Linked DNA regions of Caenorhabditis elegans. The protein of the gene in region 1 interacts with the protein of each later gene in a pairwise test. Each region holds a gene or a part of one and is shown on either strand. Other genes may lie near its edges.

Region 1 (8,401 bases):
GTTTCCAAAAATTGGCTGCCATGGTAAACTACTTGTAGCTTTTTGCATTTCTGCAACATTTTTTGCAAAAGTATAAAGTTCAGAATACGCAAAAAAAAAAACGAAAAGTAAAACATAAATTATAAATATTTATTACAATTTCTTTTGAAACTTTAAAACTAGCGAATCAATTTCTAGCGAAAAGTATTTTCTAGCGGGCTGGGTATTCTATGTACAACTGCAGGACATTTTGGGGTTACGTGAACGCGAGATCATCAATTAATTTATCATATTCCATCACATTGAACACACGAATCACGTGAAAATTTTCACGGTGAACTGCCATCGCATTGCGGACGGCTGTCAGAAGAAGCAACGTGTTGCCCACGAGAAGACCAGCCTGGAAACTAGAAGAGGATGAGAGAGCGTAGGTGAGGAGGAGAGCGCAGAGAAAACATCTAGGTGCTCAGCGGCCTCTCCGCTGTTTCAGAATAAGAGAAGTATCTAGATTTTTCCAGAAATATTTTGACTTTTCTAGGGATGAATGGTCAATGAATGATCGAAAATCTTACAGAAATTTTGATCGAAATCGTTTCAAGATTTTTCAAAATTTCCAGAAAGCCTTTTTAGATTGTTGTTGAAATTTTCAAATAGGTGGTCCAGAATAGTTCAGTTTTTGTAGAACTTACCAAAAATCCCAGAAACTTTTCAAATATTTTCGAAATCTCTAGAAAGTTCTAACACATTTAAAGGTGGTGTACACTGCAACTTTTTCCTCACGAGGGACGAGGAAAAGTGGTTTCTAGACCATGGCCGAGGGGCCGACAAGTTTCAGCGGCCATTTATGTTGCTTTGTTTTCCGCGTGTTTTCTTTTGTTTTGCACCAATTTTTCCCGTTTTTTCTTATTAAAACTAATAAATAAATATTTTTTGCAGATGCTAAAACAATTTCCAAGTGAAAAAAGTCTGTATTGAGTCGGTAAGTAGCGGTGAAAGTGCTCAATGTAATATGATGGATTACGGGAATACAAAACCTAAACTTTTTCCCAAACATGATACATACGCTGCTTAAATGCTGAAACTACCTGATTTTCATAACGAGACAGCTAAAAAAATTTTGAGGTTTTCAAAATTCAACTTTTTTGGTGAAAAAGTAGAGATTTTCGCATAAAATGTTGAATTTTAAAAATCTCAAAACTTTTTCAGCGGTCTCGTTATGAAAATCAGGTAGTTTCAGCATCTAAGCAGCATATTTATCATGTTTGGAAAAAAGTTTAGGTTTAGTATTCCCGTAATCCATCATATAACATTGACCACTTTCACCGCTACTTGCCGACTGAATACATAATTTTTTCATCTGGAAATTATATTAGCATTGGCAAAAAATATTTATTTATCAGTTTTAATAAGAAAAAACGGGAAAAATCGGTGAAAAACACAAGAAAACAAAGCAAGTACAAAATGTCGTTATATGCGGTGTATTGTGTGCAAACACCGATTTTTTGCATTTTTTCTAGGCCCCCGTTTGAAAAAAGTTGCAGTGGTGTAGTCCAATTTTTTAATTGCTTTTTTTTTAAATTTTTTTAACCAAATCTTGCCGTCCATCGACTTTGAAACAACTAAATGAAGTTGGAAACGCGCAAGATAATTACATTGTGTACTTAAAATTTGACGGTGATTTCAAAAAAAAAATTGTTTCCAGCCGCTGTGACATTGACAAGTTGGTCAAATTTACAATTTTAACAAATGTTAGGCCATTTTTTGAGACGCCATAACTTTTTTTTGAAAAGTTTCCAAGAAGTTTCATTTTGAAATTCGGTGTTTTCAGACAATTTTGATTTTCATAAACGTTCAGAACAAACCAGAATCTTCTAGAAAATTTAAGATCACGAAATTTTTAAATGAAGGATGCTTCTCTACCTCATGTGGGTCTATCCCCTGTTTCGCATAAAACTCGAACCAATCCTTCATCACCCGATTTCTGGCCATCACTACGGCGTTACGACTCGCGTCCGATAAGTTATCAGCGGCTGAAATTGCACTTTCAATTGACACCTCTCTTCCAGACAGCACTAACCTGTATTGAATAACAATATTGCAAAAAGAGCACAAAACTCGGTGTCTGTCATTCTAGAGTGCTCTAACGCGGATCCAAGTTCGTTCAAACACGACCGCAGCGGGTCGTAGAGCAGTTTCAGACACGTTTCCTTGTCCATGACAGACTCGGTGATTTGTGTGAATTCGTCGTCGAATTGAGCACCATGATCACTCAAATCCGTGTAGGACCCGTCCGGAGCAATTAGTCTGAAATCGAGAAAAGTTTTGCAGAGAGTAGAACAATTCTGATGCTCTCAAGAAAATGCGAGAAAAATTGTGATGAAATCTGGAGTATTCTAAAATTGAAAATTCGAAAAATTAAAAAATTTTATATTTTCGATTTTTTAAAGAAAATTCGGTCAAATTTTTTAGGTAATTTTTTTTTGAAATTTTGTTGAATTGAAAAGTTGAAAAATCGAAAAAAATGGAGATTTTTTCCTTTAATTTATTTTTCAAAAAAAAAAATGACCAGAATTGTTGAATTGCAATTTCCGAAAAAATGTTGAGAGTTTTTTAGAATTTTCAAGAATGGTTCAAAAAATCCTCGAACGTCCTGGAACCTTTTTTGGAAAATTTGAGATCACTTTCAAGTATTCTGCGACGCTCTAGAAAACACTAAATGTTTTTGGAAACGTGAAACAACTTTTGGAATTTTCTGAAAAATGGTACATATTGGAAAATGCCAGGAAATTCTGACATGTTCTGAGAACTCTGGATCTTCCTGAGCATTTCTAGAAATTCCTGGAAAGTTATATAAATTTTTGAATATTCTGGAACTCTCTAGAAATAGCATAGAATGTTCAGGGACTTTTTAGAAACAAATTTTTTGGAATATTCGGAAACTTTCTCGTAAGTTTGACATGACCTAGACCTTTCAAAAAATTCTAAAAATATCTGGGCATTACTGAAACTGTCTGGAACGCTCTGGAAAATTCTGGAATGTAAAGGTCTCTAGAAAATCGAAATATTTTTAGAAATATCGAGAAAGTTGTGGAATTTTTCGAAAACAATTTTTTCCTAAAACTAGAGTTATCCTACAGTAGCCATAGAGTACTAGAAAAGTACCCTAACAATAAAAATAAAATGCAAAGCCCTACTTTTGAGTTCTCAACCCATCATATTTCACAGAAATATAATATTTCTCCAGCATGGCCAATGACACAGCACATCCCTTGACTAATGTCTCCTTGGTATCCAGGTCCATCTGTCGGAACACGCTCATTGAATTCATCATCTCCACGTACAAAACCAACTCAAATCGCATTTTTTCCTTGTAATATCGTTCGTCAAATCTCGTTGGTCGCATCTTCTGAAATCCGAAAGAAATTGCTAAAAAGAAGCCATAGTTAGTACAGTAATTACTAAGCCGGTGCCTCCGAGCATCTCGCGAAGTGATCCGTTACAGTAGAACATTCGACGTCGCTCCACAGAGTTTTTGTATAGTGCGGCAAGGGTTTCGATGTAGTTTTCGCCGGGAATTTCTGAACTTTGGATGAGTTGGGATGGGTTGGAATTAAAGAAGCATGGGAAGGATCAGGTTTTAAAAAAGGATGAGAGAAGCAGGTTCAGACTGTTGGGCATCACGCTCGCCTTTTCATCGACTTGCAGCCGACAGCCAACAACGGGCTCGTGAACCGCAAGGTGTCGGCCGCAGGATTTACAGAGGGCGGGCGTGGTGCCCCATTTTCGTACTCACCTTTTGGAGCAACTGGAAGTGGTTCATTACATGTGCTCGTACTGGATATCCAACTACCCGGAGTTGCAGCAGAGAACAGAATATCGTCGAGCTTCTCCTTTTTATCCTCCTCCTCGGCTTCCTGAATCATTTCTGCTGGGGACCGTGGCTTGATCGAGTCTCGAAGGTTTTGGACGCCTGGAATCGGAAATTATTTTATTTGTGCCGACCTGCCTACATGTCTACGCGCCTGCCTACCGACTATCTGCCTGCCAATCAAAGTGAATGCTTGCCAGCCTATCAGCCGTTCAAAGGCCTACATACCTATGTGTCTGACTGTCTACCTTCGAGTTAAATTTATGCGCCCGTCATTTTCAGGGACACAGTCTTACTGTGATGTTAAGCAGCTTAATAGGTGAATCTTTACAGGTAGGCAGGCCATACCGTACCTACAATTAGGCGCTCTCACTTTTTTGCGCCCTCTCCCCCTAGACAGATTCCATCTTCTCGACAAGAACAACTCATATTTCAGAGATCAAAATCTCCGAATTCTCGAAAAAAAAGTTTACTTACTGCTCGGATTCATCCCCATATCGATACACCTTACGTATCGGCATGCTCGACAATTTGATCGGTGTCCTGAAACAAGGAAGTTGATTTTTTTTGTCATTTTTGTCAAATTTGCTTGATTTGTACAAATTTTTTCGAGTACGCACCACTACTATTACTACTGATAAGCAGAACACACGGGGCTTTTACATAATTTTACCCCGATAAAATTGTTTGTCTGTCTAGCAATTTTCGTTCGATAGAATAGAGTTTTGTTTTCTGGTGACTAGAAATCGAATACTGTAAGTGTTCAATTCATAGTTGAATAGACAAAAAAGTGAGAGAAAGAGAAAAAGGGAAATATATATTGAAAATTGAATCATGTTGCCGTTATCGACACAATTGGCCACATTTGGAAATAGAACATGGGAAATTGGGAAATGAAATTGGAACGAAGCAATGCCAGACAAACCAAAAAGTTAATCGAAAATTTTGGATACATGCCAAAATGCCAAAAAAAATTTTCTCACAAATTATTTGTTTCTAGTTTTTTTTTAAAGTTTCGTGCTAGACTTGAATTGAAATTAGGCACAGTTATGCCTACGCACATAGCTACCTGCCTGCCTTTTTGCGAACCTGCCTATTCAACTTTGTGCTCTGAATTTTACAAAAAAAAAAGCTAGAATTCAAAAATTTGCCCTTTATTCCCAGAGGAATATGTTATAGTTGCAAAATAATAGTTGCAACAGTTGCAATCAATTTCCATGTCAAGTTGGATGTACATACCTTTACCTTTTGCCAACAATGCAACCTACCTCCCTGCCTGCCTATTGGGCAACCTAGGCCTACCACCTGCCTACGGAAATGTAATTATTGCTCACTTAAAAGGAGAAATACGTAAATCTACACTGTAAATACACAGGCAAAACTGCGACCTAGGCCTACCTCGTACCTACATACGTCCATAAATGTTTTGCTCATTTTCTTACACAAACGTTTGGAAATCTACACCGTGTAAACCGCCAATAATCAGAAAATAGACAGCTAGGAAGACAGGTAGCCAAGTAATAAAAATTGCCTACCTACTGTAGACTCCTTACTATAAAAACTAGTATTCACTCAGGCAGGCATGTTGGCATGTAGGCGTGCCTGCCTACTATTCGAGTCTAGTAAAGTCATAGGATTATTGTAGTTGTTCACTAAAGTTTAAAAATTGTTCTAGAATCCGGTTATCAAATTCACTTTTTCATATCTCTCACGTTTGCCGAAGCTGGTCAAAGTCTACAAAAAGGAGGCCCCACGAAAAGGGGAGCAGAACGAAAAGGGGATCTGCAAAAAGGGGATCTGCGAAAAGGGGAGATACGAAAAGGGGAGATACGAAAAGGGGAGCAACGAAAAGGGGATCTGGCACTGTGCCAAATGCTATTTTTCTCGAAGAAAACGATACAACGATGCTCCGATGTTACGCGTCGCGTGTTGTTAAGCGTATCTTCCAGAAGAAAATTTCAAAAATCAACGTGCGTTGCGTGAGAAAAATTGCGTTTTGTGCGTTTGGCACAGTGCCAGCTCCCCTTTTTGTTGCTCCCCTTTTCGTAACTCCCCTTTTCGTATCTCCCCTTTTCGCAGATCCCCTTTTTGCAGATCCCCTTTTCGTTCTGCTCCCTTTTCGTGGGGCCTCACAAAAAGGGTACGGTAAAAAATGAACTAACGTCTATCCAGCGGACACAGCGAGTTGCCAACTGGATCCCTCCTACAGTAGTACCTCCTCGAAAGCACTACGGTACGTCGAAAAAACGCTGAACAAGCGGCACACGCAATACACCCAAAATGGTATCCACTGGAGTTGGGGTTCTTGCACACCGCACACTCTTTCTTCTCTGAAGCCGAGGAGCACGATGATGTGGATGGTGGTGATGATATAGCTGATGGTGGAGATGGCTTCATATAGGCGTTGGGATTTGATGAGTGTGGGAAGGAAGGAGGTACTGAAGGTGTTGTGGTGGAGGATGAAGGCGTCTCGAAGGGGTACCCGGTGAGCTGGAAAAGTTCTGATCGAGTAAGTTATAGTTTTGGCACAACATTTATTGTATCTAGGTGCGCCGGTTTAGTCTAGCCGAGAATCGGCTTCTGAGCCAAGCCGGTATTCTAAAAAAAACCGGCAGTAGCTCACCTGTCCAGCACCATTCAGCTTCATCATGGCCAACACCTTCTGCTTCCCGAGCACCTCCATTTTGCTAACTAATCTGAAATAATTTGAAAATTTTAATTAAAAAAAAATTTTATTTGAAGAAAGAAAACATATCAAATAATTACAAAATACGGTTATTGTAAAATAAAAGTAACGAACGATATGAGTAATCGGAAGAAACCTGCCAGTTGGGGAAGTATGAGGAAGTTTTCCGGGTTACTGTAGGTCAGGGAAAATGTTGTGAGGCACGAGGTAGGCGTAGGCCGTCTTAAAGTAGGCAGGTAGCCAAATCTCCAATTCATGAAAATTTCATATGAATTTCATATTTGATACACATGTGGTATGATAATTATCAAAAAAAATTATCAAAAAAAGTGATTGACATATATTTACAGCGGATATTTTATTATTATTCTTAGGCGGCCTACGCCTACCTTATGCCTATGATTTTCAAAAAATCAATTGAGATTGGAAATTGCAAACAAAGGTAATAAGGTAGTAGGTAGGCAGGCATGAAAACATGCATGCCGAAAATTAAAATGTTATTAGAATTTTTAAATTTTGTGAAATATCCTAACTATAGGAATAATTCCAAAAGTGAATTTAAGGCCTGTGCCTGCCTGAAACCTGCCTGCCTTTATCTGCATTTAGAATTGAATTTAGAAGTTGAAAGTTTCCTCATCTCAATCGATTTGTTGAAAACAAAGTTAAGAAAGGAGCAATGAATTGGCAAGTGTTTTAGCGGAAGGCGCAAGGCACGCGAAAGTCACCTTAAGGGGAGGCAGGTAGGTACGCATTAGAAGCCTGTATGGAAACTCTAGTTTGCGTAAAATTTTTATTCAGAAACACCAATGTTGAAAAATATGAACTTTAAGCTTCAGAATTTCAGAACCATTTATCTTAAAACTTGGGAAACTTTTGGGAAACTAAATATTTTTTGTAAATATTTTTCCAAAAGCAGTATTAATCACATTCTAAACTGCTAGATAGTGTTAATTTGCAATCGAAACTTGACAAGATAAGTGATCATCAGAAACTTGGGAAAACAGATGCGAAATGTTGCGAGCGGCAGAGAAGGGAGACGGGCGAACAAGTGATATCGAACAAAAAAGCAAAAAAAAACGAAGGAAAAAATAGGAAAAATAGAACGACCGGCAGACGCAGACAGTTTGGGTAGGGAGAAGGAGTGGCTAACTGTCAAGTTTTTCGGTTTTCAAAAAATGAATGACATCTTGCACTTTCCCCCTGCATCCTTCTATCAAAAGTGCACACACTTGTTTATGTGTTTGGTTTGAGAACATTTTTTTTAAATTGTAATCAGAATGAATTGAAAAGAATCGGAATCGGCAACATATTTCTATCTCTTAGTGGTTTTTTTTTCGTTCGTGTTATGTTTCTTTTCCGCTCTCTTTTCAAAGTGCAAGTTGCCGGCCGTCAGAGGCGGGGTTAGGCGGGGGCAGTCTGCCTAGACAGAGAAACATCAGGAAAAGAAAGAAAGAGTTTGATACTTGTTTATTGGTTAAAAAAAAAATGAAAAATTGGATGAGGATTTGGCGGGGCGAACACAAGTTCGGAGATCACACGAGTATTTTGAATTTTAAAAATATTAAAAAATAAATCCTACCCTCGTACCACTTTCACAGCTGATAGATATCTCGGCTCCCTTTGATTTTATCAAAAAATTGTCAACGGACAAGATATGTGCGAAATATTTTTCTAGATTTTCAAAGTAAACGTTTTTTCGATTCCGGCAAATCGGCAAATCGGTAAACTGCCAAATTGCCGATTAGCCGAAAATTTTTGGAAAATTGTGGTTTTGTACTTCTTTTTGGAATTCCCAGAATTTCAATTTTAAAAGGCAAAATTGTATACATCTTATGAATGTTCCTACATCTATTTTGAAAAGTAAGCAA
Region 2 (4,719 bases), on another chromosome or scaffold:
ATTAACTAAAGATTGAGTCAACTCTGGCCAATATTTAACACAAACTTTTTTGTGTTGCTTCAATTGGTTTTATATGTACCTGTGCACTCATTCTTCCCAAGAAGAACATCTTCTCCCCGGTATCCGGATGATACGTGGAATCATACAACGTCTTTGCCTTCCACAACTCGCTCACAGTCAACGTCGGACTGACTTTTCCGTTCTTGTAGTCCAAGACAATTTGTCGGCATTGCTCTTGTCGTGCAACTGATGAGGTCAGGGTGAGTGGGTTAGTAAGAGTGAAAAAGTGACGGACACGACCTGGAAAAGAGGATTTCTTTACAATGTAGGTTAATAAATGTTAAAAATCAGAAGTAAATCAGATTGTAATTTATTGATTTCTGGCGTTTCCAAATTTTCGGGTCTCTCAAGTTCAAAGCGGCACAAGAAAAGTTTGAGCCAAAGTGTTCCAAGAGTTTGATCAAACTTGGGACAAAATCTGGCGCAGCCTAAATCCAGGTCTTGTCAAAATCTTGCCCAACTTTCGCCGAAGTTTTGCCAATTTCTCATCAACGTTAATAGTTTTGGGCAAAACGTGGGCAAGAAGCTAGAGCCAAATACCGAATAATTCGATGAAAAAGGTGTCCAATGTGCTATTATTGAAAAAGGTGTCCAATGTGCTTCGCGATGTGCTATTATTCACTTTGAAAAATGCAAGAATTTTGCAATGCACCGCACATTAACTTTCAGATACATCCCATCTAAACAGTCTTAACTTCGCTGGCACTTTTTGGCAACCTGAAGAATTCTTACCGTAATATGTCCTTTGACTCCATTGTGGCTTCGATATATCTGGACGAGTCTTTAGATTGCTGACAAGCTCACTCATTTTAATCAAATGAGAACTAATAAATGAATTGTTCTGTGGTTTTGTAACGTTTTTTTTGTTTCTTTATTTTTAATTTGTTAGACCGTGATTTACGTGGCACTTATGTATATATTTTTAATTGTCTCATATCCAAATTTTATAATTTTTCAGAATTGAAAAACTGAAATATAAACTTCTGAAAAAAAAGAGTTCCTCTCTCCCGTTTTCAAACGGAAATTGTGAGTCAGAAGTTTTGGTTTCAGAGAAGGCAAGAGGAAAAAGTACAGCAGCGAATTGTTTAGGAAACTCTTTGATTATTCATCATTTGTCAGAAAAATTGTGAAAATAGAAGGAAGAGAAAATGAACTGAAAGTTTCAAAAATTTTCTGGCTTCATCCGGCAGTTTTTTTTTGCAGCAAACATTTTTTGAATTTTTTTGAAATAATTTTTAAAGCATTTTTAGTGCTCTAGATTATTTTAGGATAAAAACCCATCAACTTAAATATAAAAAAATAGTCTTTTTATCCGAAAATAATTTTTGTTTTACTTGAAACAACTGCAAAAGTGCCGAGCAATACGAAAATTGCTTGAAAAACCAGAGAATTTATCGGAAAAAATTTCCGGCAATTTTTGTGCACTTTTTCAGATGTTCCAAGTCAAATAAAAATAATTTTCAAATAAAGCAAAATAAATTTTCCGAAATACGGTAGCTTTAAAAAGTTACAATATTCTTAAAGTCCCCACCCAAACCTTCTTTATTAAAATCTCCCCATCACCTTTTTGCAATATATTGCAAAATCCAACAGCTATGCATTTGAATCCAAACAGCAGTCTCCGCAGCCTCTCCCTCTCTTTCCTTCCCCCTTCCACCACCCAATTCCCCAGTCCGTCAGTACACGTATGTCTGTACACTCTTCATCTTGCACACTCTCTCAGTCCCCACTCACTGCCTGCATCGCAGCACTGCTTGTCCTTCGATCGATGACCGCCTGCTGACTGCTGTTGACTGCCCGCATGCTGCTGCCTGCTGGCTGAATTATCTCATCACTATAGGCCACTTATGCTCAGTTTTTTTTCTTTGTTTCTAGAAATTCATTACCGTAGGATTTTAGTAGGAAATTATTTGAGTTTTTTTCAACCTGATTTTTCGCCGAGAATTTAGGAAAATTTGGAAAGAAAGGGAGGATTTTTTTCAAGGTTTTTTTCCTCATATTTCTCCGAATTCTTCCGTGACTTTTAAGATATTGTAACTAATTTTTTTCTCAGAATGGATCCAAAATTTCTCGTAGTAGAAATAGACTCAAAGGAGCGAGCACTTCAGTTGGTTCAAGTTATGGTGGGTTTTTCTAGTGAAAAATAACTAAATTGGAAAAAAAAAAGTTTCAGCTAGAAAATGGATTTGCTCGATTCATGCTGTTGGACGATCTTTCGCGACACCCGACTCTCGACAGAATCCAGAGAGAAGAGCCAAGAATTTCAAGAGATGAACTCCGTGAAACAGCTTCATCTCCTGTCACATTTGAAACTCGACATTCTCCATATCCAGTGCATGAGCAAAAGTAGGTGGTTTTTTTTTAAATATTTTTTATTTAAAAAATGGAAATTTTTGAGATCAAACCTTATATTTCACAAACAATTCAGAAAAATTCACTCTTAAAAGAACCAATAAAAAAGGTTTTATTTTGTCGAAAACTTCTCTTTCGCCAAAAAAAAAATTTCCGAAGCCTCACCTTCTGCCTTTATTTGCTGTATATTCTCTACTAGTCTTTCAAAAAGTTATATCTCGGTTCATTTCAAAGATATCAATAAATAATCAACAGCAAATCTATAGAAAAACATTTAACAAATATTTTGTCAGTCGAAAGTTTTTCAATAAAACAAACGACAACTGAGTTATCAAATTTATCAGTTGGTTGAAATACTATTAGAGGAAATACGGTATAATACTTAGCAGAAAAGTTTTTACAAATAAAATTTGCGACTTTAAGTTCATCAAATTTTCAGAGTTCTATTTCCATCGTTTTCACAAGTTTCGAATTCAATGGTGACATCTACGGGCATCCGACAGGAAGCTTCAAGTGTTGGTGTTGGACCGATTGAAGACGACGATATTGTTGAGGAGGAGGAGGAAGAGGATATTCGACTTACTAGCAAGCCGTGAGTTTATCTACTTTAATAAATCTACTGGACATTCGAGAAATTAAAAAAAAAAGATTTCAGGTGTGTCAAACGCCGTTATGATCATCACGCCGAGGAACAGGAGTATAGAGATCAACTGATGAGCTTGTTGAGTGGAGAACCGGAAATTGTGCCTATAGGTGTCAACTCGGTTAGTAGTTTTTTCTATATTCCAAGACTCACAATTCCTCATTTTCAGAACGACGAACCATCTGGCTCCAACTCGGATTCTGCCGCGAAAAAGGCCAAATCCGTCGGCGACTACCATGAATGTCAGCTCTGTGGAGTTCGAGTCAAAACGCCTAGAAGCGGTCGATGGAATCTCCAAATGCATGTGATTGCTCTTCATTGTGTTGGAAGACAATATAAATGCAAGCAGTGTGATTACTTGGACTATCGAAAATCAACGATGAGAAAACATACGGTTTCGCAGCATGGAAGTGACATTCCGCCGCATAATATTACGTGAGTTTTGGAGTTTTTTCAAATCAAAATTTCAAATATAAATATTTTAAAACAATACCTAAACATCCCCATGCTGCTAGAATCAATACAATTTATTTTAAAAAGGCTTTGAAATATTAATTGAAATGAAATTATTTGTGAACAATTTTTGTAGAAGTTTCAAATTTAAAAAATCATATTTTTCCAGGGACAACATAATGAAAGCTGAATGGCATGCTGCAATGATAAAATGTTTCCCTGAATTTGCTCACAGAACTGGGTTCTTAAACTGATTCATCGCTCTCATCGCCAAATTATTTATTTTTTGATACCATTCCAATTTATTATATTCCTGATAAAAAGTGACAATTTGATAATTATATTGCAGTTATAAAGCGGTTAGATATACATACATCACCAATTAGATCAGCTTAACCTTAGTGAAACCCTCAAGTTCATGAATCGCCTTTTCAATGTCTTCTACTAAAATTGTGTTCCATCCGAGCTTTTCTGCAGCTTCAATGTTTTCATGGAGGTCATCCAAAAACACAATTTCCTCTGGTTTGACTCCGAGTCTTTTCTCAACTAAATGATAAAATCGAGCGTCTGGTTTCATGAGATGCTCCAAACAAGATTCTACAACTTCATCGAAATGTGTCAAATCGCATGGAAGTCTGGTTTCCTTGTGCTCCTGAAAATCATTGAACAAATTTTCAATATTGATAGGAACTCGATTACCTTATCTAAGAACATGTTGTTTGTCAGCATGGCGGTTTTGAAGCCCTTCTTGTGAAGAATTTCCACGGTTTTTTGCATATTTTTGTGCTGAAAATGCTAGGTTCAGGGCAAAGTTTAGAAACATTTTAAGCTTACAATTTTAACATTTTCTCCACGAAGGCACTCGGTGAATGGTTTTATCACAACGTTGTCAGTCAGCTTGTTTCCATACTGAAAGTTTAAAAAGTAAGAAAAAATTTCAAAAACTTTGTTTTGAAAATAAGGAAATTCATGAAACTTGCAATAAATTTGAATTTCAAACTTCCTAAAAATGTAGGAACGATGTTTCAGCTGTATCTTTCTGAAATTTTTTCCAAAAAATAAAGTCGATGGAACGTTCAAGTTTTTTTATAAAAATTGATGGATGTTCAGATTTAAATTCTCCAAAAAATCTTGGGGGAAATTTACATGTATTTTTCGAAAAAAATTGAAATTTCAAAACTTCAGAAAAATTTGGCGCATGTACCAATATG
Region 3 (8,398 bases), on another chromosome or scaffold:
TGATTTTTTTTAAGCAAACTAGTGGTTTATTGCCATAATTTGGATGTTTTTAGACAGCGAGCAATTTGTGTTGTCGATTTCCATTGGCCTGGTTTCTACAGAATATAGGACTTTTAGTGATATGCAATGAAAATTACGATTAGTACATATATAATATAATATAATATAATATATAATACAATATATAATACATAATACAATATATATATAATATATAATTATATATATATGTATAATATATATAAATATTATATATATATATATATATATATATATATATATATATATATATATATATATATATATATATTATATATAATACATAATACATAATACATAATATATAATACATATATAATATAATTACACATATATAATATTTTAATCAAAGTTGTATAAATATGTTAAAACATTAAATATTGCAAAATATTTTTTTTGAACATTTTGAAAAAAAATGTTTTGTTAACTTTTCGAAAAAAAATATTTTTTTGAAAAACTGTTATTTTTTTCAAATTTCAGTATTTTTGTAATAGTTTGAATTTACACAAAAGTTAAGTACAATGTTCTTAACATACTGGTAGTTATCTCTAAAAATTGAGCAGTTTTTTGAGAACGAGCAATTTGTGTTGTCGCTTTCTTTTACATAGGCTGGTTTAGTTGGGAATTATGTGTGACCTTTTCAGCTAGAAACGGACAGAAAATGATATAACAGTCATATAAAGTTTTAAAAAAAAGTATAGTATAGTAAAACAGAAAATTTGGAAATACAATTTTTTTTTAAAGATTTTTGAAATTTTTTTCTTGCAATTTCAAAAAAAATTTTTTTTTTGAGTTTTTGGAATTTTTTTTTCAAGTTTTGAACTATTTCTATTAGTTTGACATTATGTAACACATTATGACATAGAGATTATGTACAATTTTCTCGACAAATCAGTAGTTAACGGCCAAAATTCGGCTCTTTTTAGACAGTGAGCAATTGGTGTTATCAATTTCCATTGACCTGGATTCTTCAGAATACAGCACTTTTAATTATAGCGAGGCAATGATAAATTATGATTTGCAAAATTTAATGAATAAATTTTTTTTTTTGGATAATTTTGAAAAAAAAATTTTTTTTTTGAGAAATAAAACGTTTTTTTCCAATTTTCTGAATTTTTATTCTCAAATTTTGAAATATTTATATTAGTTTTAGTTCACACTAAAATTAAGATTAATTTTCTTGACAAATTAGTAGTACACTGACTAAATTTGGCACTCGAGCAATCGGTGTTGTCGCTTTCTTTTAGGCTGGTGTATTTGGAAATTGTGGCCCTTTTAGGTATAAAAAGACAAAGTTGATGTTACAACAAGAATGTATATAGTTAAACAACATAAAATGTAGTAAAACTAAAATTTTTGGAAATCAATTTTTTTTTGAGATTTTTGAAAAAAAAAATTCTGCGATTTTCAAAAAATTTTTTGAATTTTCTGATATTTTTTTCTCAAATTTTCAAAGAATGCTTATTCATGCAAATCCACACAAAAATCGTAAGTTTTCATAAGCCAACCAGTTTTTAACTACAAAAATTTGCCACTTTTTAGAAGTCGAGCATTTGGTGGGTGTTGTCGATTCCCCCCCCCCCCCCCCCCTCAGGCTTGAAAAGCCGGCTAAAATCTAGTTCCTCAGGTAAACTTGCACCGAAGTTACAGAAATAGACATCAGGAAGTAAAAAAAAACAGTTCTAATTACCAAGCAAACAAGAAAAATCAATCAAAAACTAAATACACAGCAAATATTTACAAACATAAAAAAGAAAAAAAAAATCAAAAATTGAGGTGCAAAGTGGGCAAAAATGAAATCTTATGACTGGAAAAATAATCAGATAACTGCTTATAAATATAATTTGAATAAAAATAGCAGAAAAAAATTTTGAAAAAAATTTTTTTTTTGAGAATTTTGAAAAAATTTTTTTTTTTTTTTTCTGAAACTCCCCTAAAATGTGGAATTTCAAAATTTTCAACAATTTCGTCAAACTACACCCTCAGAAAAGTACAAATCACGATGAAAATCTCTGAAATCCCCCCATCGCCGTTTGTTTTTCCAATTTACGACCACCAAACCTCTCTCCCTATCGGCTTAACTGTTGGTCTAAACCTCGAATTACTATAAAATAACATATTTTGATGTCATTTGACATTGGTAATATGTTCACAAAAACATCATTGCTAGGGTTACTGTATTTATGCGCTATTTTGATCGGTTTTCCAGAAAAATCGACGGGAAGTGGTGGGTTTTTTTGTTGACCTTTCTTGAAAATTTATGATTTTTAAACTTAAATTTGTGAAAATTTGAATTCAGCTCATTATTAGTTTTCAAACACGTATAATCATGACTATATTCCGATTATTTTGAAAATGTTGGCCTCTACGTCCCTATAAAGTCGTGGCGGGACCCAAATTTCCAATTCGTTAGATTCTAGTCATAATCATACTTTTTTTTTCAAGTTGCTTGAAGTGAACTAAATCTGAGTATTTGAACATTTTTAAAATTTGCACCAGGTTATCGTGGTGGGACCAAAAATTTTGAAAATTCAAAAATTCCTAGAACCTAGTCATGAGTATACTTATTTTAAAGCTCTCGACGCGCTCATTTTCATAATTTAAAAATTTTGGAATTCGCAGCAAAACTGTGCGAGTTGCGGCCCCCTTCAAGTTTTCGTGGTGAGACCCAAAATTTTGAAAATTCCAAAATTTCGAGAACCTAGTCATGATTATTCTCATTTTAAAGCTCTTGGCGCGCTTATTTTAATAATTTTTAAATTTTTAAATTCGCATCAAAACTGTGCGAGTTATGGTAGCTTGTTTCATCAGTATACTTATTTTGAAGCTCTTGACGCGCTCATTTTCATAATTTAAAAATTTTGAAATTCGCAGCAAAACTGTGCAAGTTATGGTAGCTTGTTTCATTTTTGCGGCGAGACCCAAAATTTTGGAAAAATCCAAGTTTTCAGAACCTAGTCATGATTATACTCATTTTGAAGCTTTTGGCGCGCTAATTTTAATAGTTTTAAAATTTTAAAATTCGCCCCAAAACTGTGCAAGTTACGGCAGCTTTTTACATTTTCGTGGCGAGACCCAAAATTTTGAAAATTCCAAAATTTCTAGAACCTAGTCATGATTATACTTATTCGAAAGCTCTCGCTCTGCTGAATTCAAAAATTCTAATTTCAGACCCCCTACCAACAACACCCCCCGCCCCAACAGTATCCCCATATGGAAATGAGACCCTTCCAACACTGTTCCCACCGCTGGTATTTCCGAACTTCACCGTACCAACGCTGAACCCAATGGCGCCAGTACCACCACCCACATTTGGTCCAATTCCTGGCCTTGGAAATTTCACCCTACCTACACTTGGCACGCTGCCAGGCTTCGGGAACTTTACCCTTCCAACTTTTGCCCCACTGAACCTTAGTTTCCCGGGGCTTCCAACAATGGCTCCGCTGAATCTGAGTCTGCCAAATTTCATGAATTTCACACTTCCAACCATGCCAACATTTGCTCCCCTGGTGCTAGGCGATCTATCCAACTTCACGCTACCTACCCTTGCTCCGTTCAATCTAAGCCACCTGGGACTTGGCACCATGCCAACTTTTGCACCACTGAACCTGAGCTTCCCAGGGCTTCCTACGATGGCTCCACTAAACCTGAGCCATTTAGGTCTTGGCACGATGCCAACTTTTGCTCCACTGAATCTCAGTCTCCCCGAGCTCCCCAGCCTTCCTACAATGGCCCCGTTGAACCTGAGCCACCTGGGACTTGGCACCATGCCAACTTTTGCTCCACTGAACCTAAGCCTACCCGCACTGCCTACCATGTCCCCAATGAACCTAACCATCCTAGGACTCCCGACGATGGCTCCAGTGAATCTCACCGGGCTCCCCACATTGCTTCCGATCACCAATCCGCCATCAATGGGCACTACAACCAAGCCACCTGCGGCCCCCAGTACTGGTAAGGCTTGGACGATTATATTTTAGGCTTCAAGCTTCTCTTTTTCCAGCCTGCGGATCCGCTACATGTACCTCTACGCAGGTCTGCGCGTCGCCACTAAACTCGACACAGACCTGCATCCCACGGCTCCCGGATCGCCGTTACTGTATTGATGAGCCGTGTCAAGTGGGCATGAAGTGCTTTGATAACGTCACTAGCAACGCCTACACTTGTTATACCAAACTGGGTAAGGGGTACTGTAGGAGTGCTGGAGGGTAGGGCCAGTGGGGAAAATTGCTTTAAAACATGCCTATGGTACTACAACGACCGAAAATCATAGTAAGAAAATTTCAAAAAAATTTCAAAATTTTATATGGTTTTTTGAAAATTGAAAAAATCTCGAATTGCATCAAATTCCCATTTGTATTACGCGCCAATAGTTTTTGAGTTGCTTGAAGTCAACTAAATCTGAGTATTTGAAAATTTTTAAAATTTGCGCCAGTTTTAGGTTATCGTGGTGGGACGAAAAATTTTGAAAATTCAAAAATTCCTAGAACCTAGTCATGAGTATTTATTTTAAAGTTATTTTAAAGCTCTCGACGCGCTTATTTTCATAATTTAAAAATTTTTAAATTCGCATCAAAACTGTGCGAGTTACAGTAACTTTTCCGTTTTCGTGGTGGGACCCAAAATTTTGGAAATTCCAAAATTTCTAGAACCTAGTCATCAGTATACTTATTTTGAAGCTCTTGACGCGCTCATTTTCATAATTTAAAAATTTTGAAATTCGCAGCAAAACTGTGCAAGTTATGGTAGCTTGTTTCATTTTCGCGGCGAGACCCAAAATTTTGGAAAAATCCAAGTTTTCAGAACCTAGTCATGATTATATATTAATTTTGAAGCTTTTGGCGCGCTTATTTTAATAGGTTTAAAATTTTAAAATTTTCTGAAAAGTTCGATGGAGCGCGCTTGTCATTGTTTAATTTTTATTTTTCAATTTTTCACATTTTTGATTGATTTTTCATGTTTTTTTGCATAATTTTACTGAAACACAGTGAAAAATGTGAGATAAATGCAAATTGTTCACTAAAAATCAGTGAAAAACAGAGAAAGAACGTTTTCCAATGACATTGAGCCTTCATCTCCACTTTTTAATAAAGAATTTGCATTTATCTTAAATTTTTCACTGAATTTCAGTGAAATTACGCGAAAAAACACGAAAAAATCAGTCAAAAATGTGAAAAATTGATGAATAAATATTTAAAAATGATGCAAGCGCGCTCCATCGAACATCAAACTATTGGCGCGTAATTCAAATGGGAATTTGATGCAATTCGAGATTTTTTCATTTTTCAAAAAATCATATAAAATTTAGAAAATTTTTTTTTGTCAAAAAGTGGCAATTACTCAGTTTTTGCCACTCATGGTCGAGACATGTGATATTTCTTTAAATTTTCTCAAATGCTCGTTTTTTTCAAAATTTTGGCCATTTGCCAAAACTTTGACCGGAAATTATGAAAAATCGAAAATTTTTTAGAGTGTTTTATTATGATATTCGGTCGTTTTTGATCATTTTAAGTGCATTTAGACAAAATCCCCAAAATTTTAGATTTTCAAGTCGAAATTCGGATTCCCCACCAAAAATTACCCCTGAGCCCCGATTTTCAGAGCTCTAGTACAAAATGTCGTCAAATCCGGTGTTTTGGGTTACTGTAGCATGGTGTTTGCGAACCCGGCACCAAATTTGACGGAATTTTGCGCTAAAATTCTGAAAACTGCGGTTTCGGGGTAATTTACCATGGGGAATTCGAATTTAACATTAATTTTGCGAAAATTTGATGTTTGGGCCAAGTCACAATGGGAAAGTTTTTTTTTTCAGTTCTTCAAACAAAAATTTTTGAAAAATTGAGTGAAAATTCGAATTCTCCACCCGAAATTACCCCGAAACCCCAAGGGTGTCGATTTTTCGATTTTTTTAGAAAATCGAAAAACGAAAAATTTTCGATTTTTCGATTTTCGAATTCTTCGAAAAAATTTTCGATTTTTCAAAAATTAGCTTAATATTTTCGCCGTTATTCTTCTTTTTAGAGGAAATTTAGATGTTTTTTTCTTATCAATATAAACAAAATTCGATAAAAACTCATATTTTATAGTAAACTTTTTGAACAATTTTTTCTATTTTTCGATTTTCCAGAGAATCGAAAAATCAAAAATTTTTCGATTTTTCGATTATTCGATTTTCACCGAAAAATATCGAAAAATCCTAACTAATCAAAGTTCATCGAAAATTTTATCAGACGGCACCGCCGGTGAATGCCTTGGCATCAAGTGCTCACCCGGAGACATTTGCTTCCAAACTATGGGAAAACCTGCCCAATGCATACAGCTTAAGCGTGAGTTCCCCCCCCCCCCCACACCCCACCCCCTCAAAAAACCCAAAACCCATTCCAGAAGCCCCAAAATGCGTGGGCGCCAACGAGGAGTTCTCGGCGTGCAAGTCGGGCTGTGAGGGTACCTGTGAAGAACCGTCCCCGCCGTGCATGAACTCGACCACCTGCACGTCAGGATGTGCCTGCATACGTGGTTATGTGAGGATCAATGGGGTCTGTGAGCTCATGTCAAAGTGCCCGGTTACTGTAACGGAAGGTGTTTCGTGTGCTGGCGCTGAAGTCTACACGGCGTGTATGCCAGAGTGTGAGAAAACGTGCTCAGGGGTGCCGAATCAGGTGAGCATATGTCATTTTTTTTCACTTTTTTCGTTTTTTCCCCTTGTTGTTCTTTTTTTTTTCATTTTTTGCGTAAAATTGGGCTTTGAGACAGAAAAATTCGAAATTTTCACAAATTTTTACGTCTAAGAGAATATTTATAACGAAAAGTGAAAAAAAATAAAAAAAGTATGGAAAAATAATGAAAAAAAATGTAAAAAAATGAAAAAAACAAAAGAAATTTATCATTTTTTTTCTTTCTTTTTTCTTTTAAAAAAATTGTTTTTTCTTTCTTTTTTCTTTAAAAAAATTTTTTTTCTTTCTTTTTTCTTTTTTTTCCTTTTTTTTCCTTTTTCTTTCTTTTTTCTTTTTTTCTCTTTTTTTTCATTTTTTTTCATTCTTTTTTCATTTTTTTTTCATTTTTTTTCATTTTTTTTTCATTTTTTTTTCTTTTTTTGGTGAATTTTTCATTTTTTACATCAAAGCATTGAACAACATCGAGCACCCGTTTAATATGTGGAAAGAAATCGCATTCTGAATTTGGAAAAATTAAAATTTAAATTAGTGAAAAAAATCAATAAATTTTCAGAAAAATCAAAAAATTTCAGAAAAATCAATAAATTTTTAGAAAAATCAATAAATTTTCAGAAAAATCAAAAAATTTCAGAAAAATCAATAAATTTTTAGAAAAATCAATAAATTTTCAGAAACATCAAAAAATTTCAGAAAAATCAATAAATTTTTAGAAAAATCAATAAATTTTCAGAAAAATCGATTAATTTTCAGAAAAATCGATAAATTTCCAGAAAAATCAATGAAAGTCAATTTAATTTCTAAAAATTTGAAAATTTCAGTTCTGTATCGAAGCCAAAAACGGAACCGCTACCACAAAAGCCCCGGCAAAATGCCTACCCGGGTGCACTTGCCGGCCAGCTTACAAGCGAGATTCTGACAGTGGCCAGTGTGTCCATTCCAGGCAATGTTTTGGGAGTAAGTCGGAGCTCAGAATTTCCAGAAAAATCAATATTTCCAGCAACCAAATGCAGTGACAACGAGGCGTGGTCCAAGTGTCATAACTGCGAAAAAGTGTGCTTCCAAACTGCAAATCCGAGCTGCAAGGCTTGCTGGAGTGGCTGTGGATGCTTGGATGGGTTCTCGAGGAGTACTACTGGGCTCTGTGTGGAGACGGCTAAATGCTTCTGAAATTTCTCTGATTTTCTGTGAAAATTGTGTATTTGGATATTGGAAATGTATAAATAATTTTTTGGTGAATATTTTCTTGTGCTCAGCACCACAAAATAAATGGAAAATTTGAAATTCTCGTAGTCGAATTACTCGAAAACTTGAATAATGATTTTTCCTGGCGCACTTTAAGTGCCTTGGCGAAATTCTAGTGCCTTGGCGCAATTCTAGTGCCTTGACGCAACTCTAGTGCCTTGACGCTATTCTATTTCCTTGGCGCATTTTTAGTGCCTTGACGCAAATCAAATGCTTTGGCGCAATTCTAGTGCCATGACGCAATTCTAGTGCCTTGACGCAATTCTAGTGCATTGAAGCTATTCTATTTCCTTGACGCATTTTTAGTGCCTTGACGCAATTTTAGTGCCTTTGCGCAGTTCGAGTGTCTTGACGCAATTCTAGTGCGCTGACGCAATTCTAGTGCCTTGACGCAATTCTAGTGCGCTGACGCAATTCTAGTGCCTTGACGCAATTTTAGTGCC

What was found.
Region 2: the proteins of nhr-76 (region 1) and lir-3 interact in a two-hybrid assay, tested with the Caenorhabditis elegans proteins (one large-scale study listed by BioGRID).
Region 3: the proteins of nhr-76 (region 1) and Y69H2.10 interact in a two-hybrid assay, tested with the Caenorhabditis elegans proteins (one large-scale study listed by BioGRID).

What each region holds. Positions count from the first base shown.
Region 1 is NC_003282.8:625,679-634,079, reverse strand, and holds nhr-76 (Nuclear hormone receptor family member nhr-76), read right to left. Parts: upstream 6,544-8,401; 5' UTR 6,531-6,543; coding exon 6,471-6,530; intron 6,338-6,470; coding exon 6,010-6,337; intron 4,391-6,009; coding exon 4,325-4,390; intron 3,950-4,324; coding exon 3,773-3,949; intron 3,558-3,772; coding exon 3,439-3,557; intron 3,386-3,438; coding exon 3,174-3,385; intron 2,284-3,173; coding exon 2,057-2,283; intron 2,010-2,056; coding exon 1,900-2,009; intron 380-1,899; coding exon 236-379; 3' UTR 117-235; downstream 1-116.
Region 2 is NC_003280.10:11,182,202-11,186,920, reverse strand, and holds lir-3 (Transcription factor lir-3), read left to right. Parts: upstream 1-2,113; 5' UTR 2,114-2,114; coding exon 2,115-2,183; intron 2,184-2,233; coding exon 2,234-2,406; intron 2,407-2,851; coding exon 2,852-3,004; intron 3,005-3,067; coding exon 3,068-3,176; intron 3,177-3,224; coding exon 3,225-3,490; intron 3,491-3,677; coding exon 3,678-3,762; 3' UTR 3,763-3,846; downstream 3,847-4,719. Other genes in the region: sfxn-1.2 (Sidoreflexin), read right to left, coding at 80-300, 793-868; bigr-1 (HAD family phosphatase), read right to left, coding at 3,891-4,160, 4,208-4,294, 4,343-4,417. UniProt on the Caenorhabditis elegans protein: Positively regulates the RNA polymerase III-associated transcription of small non-coding RNAs.
Region 3 is NC_003283.11:18,668,140-18,676,537, forward strand, and holds Y69H2.10 (TIL domain-containing protein), read left to right. Parts: upstream 1-2,184; coding exon 2,185-2,266; intron 2,267-3,133; exon of another isoform or gene 3,134-3,200; intron 3,201-3,210; coding exon 3,211-3,993; intron 3,994-4,042; coding exon 4,043-4,219; intron 4,220-6,269; coding exon 6,270-6,365; intron 6,366-6,423; coding exon 6,424-6,698; intron 6,699-7,531; coding exon 7,532-7,667; intron 7,668-7,710; coding exon 7,711-7,880; 3' UTR 7,881-7,980; downstream 7,981-8,398.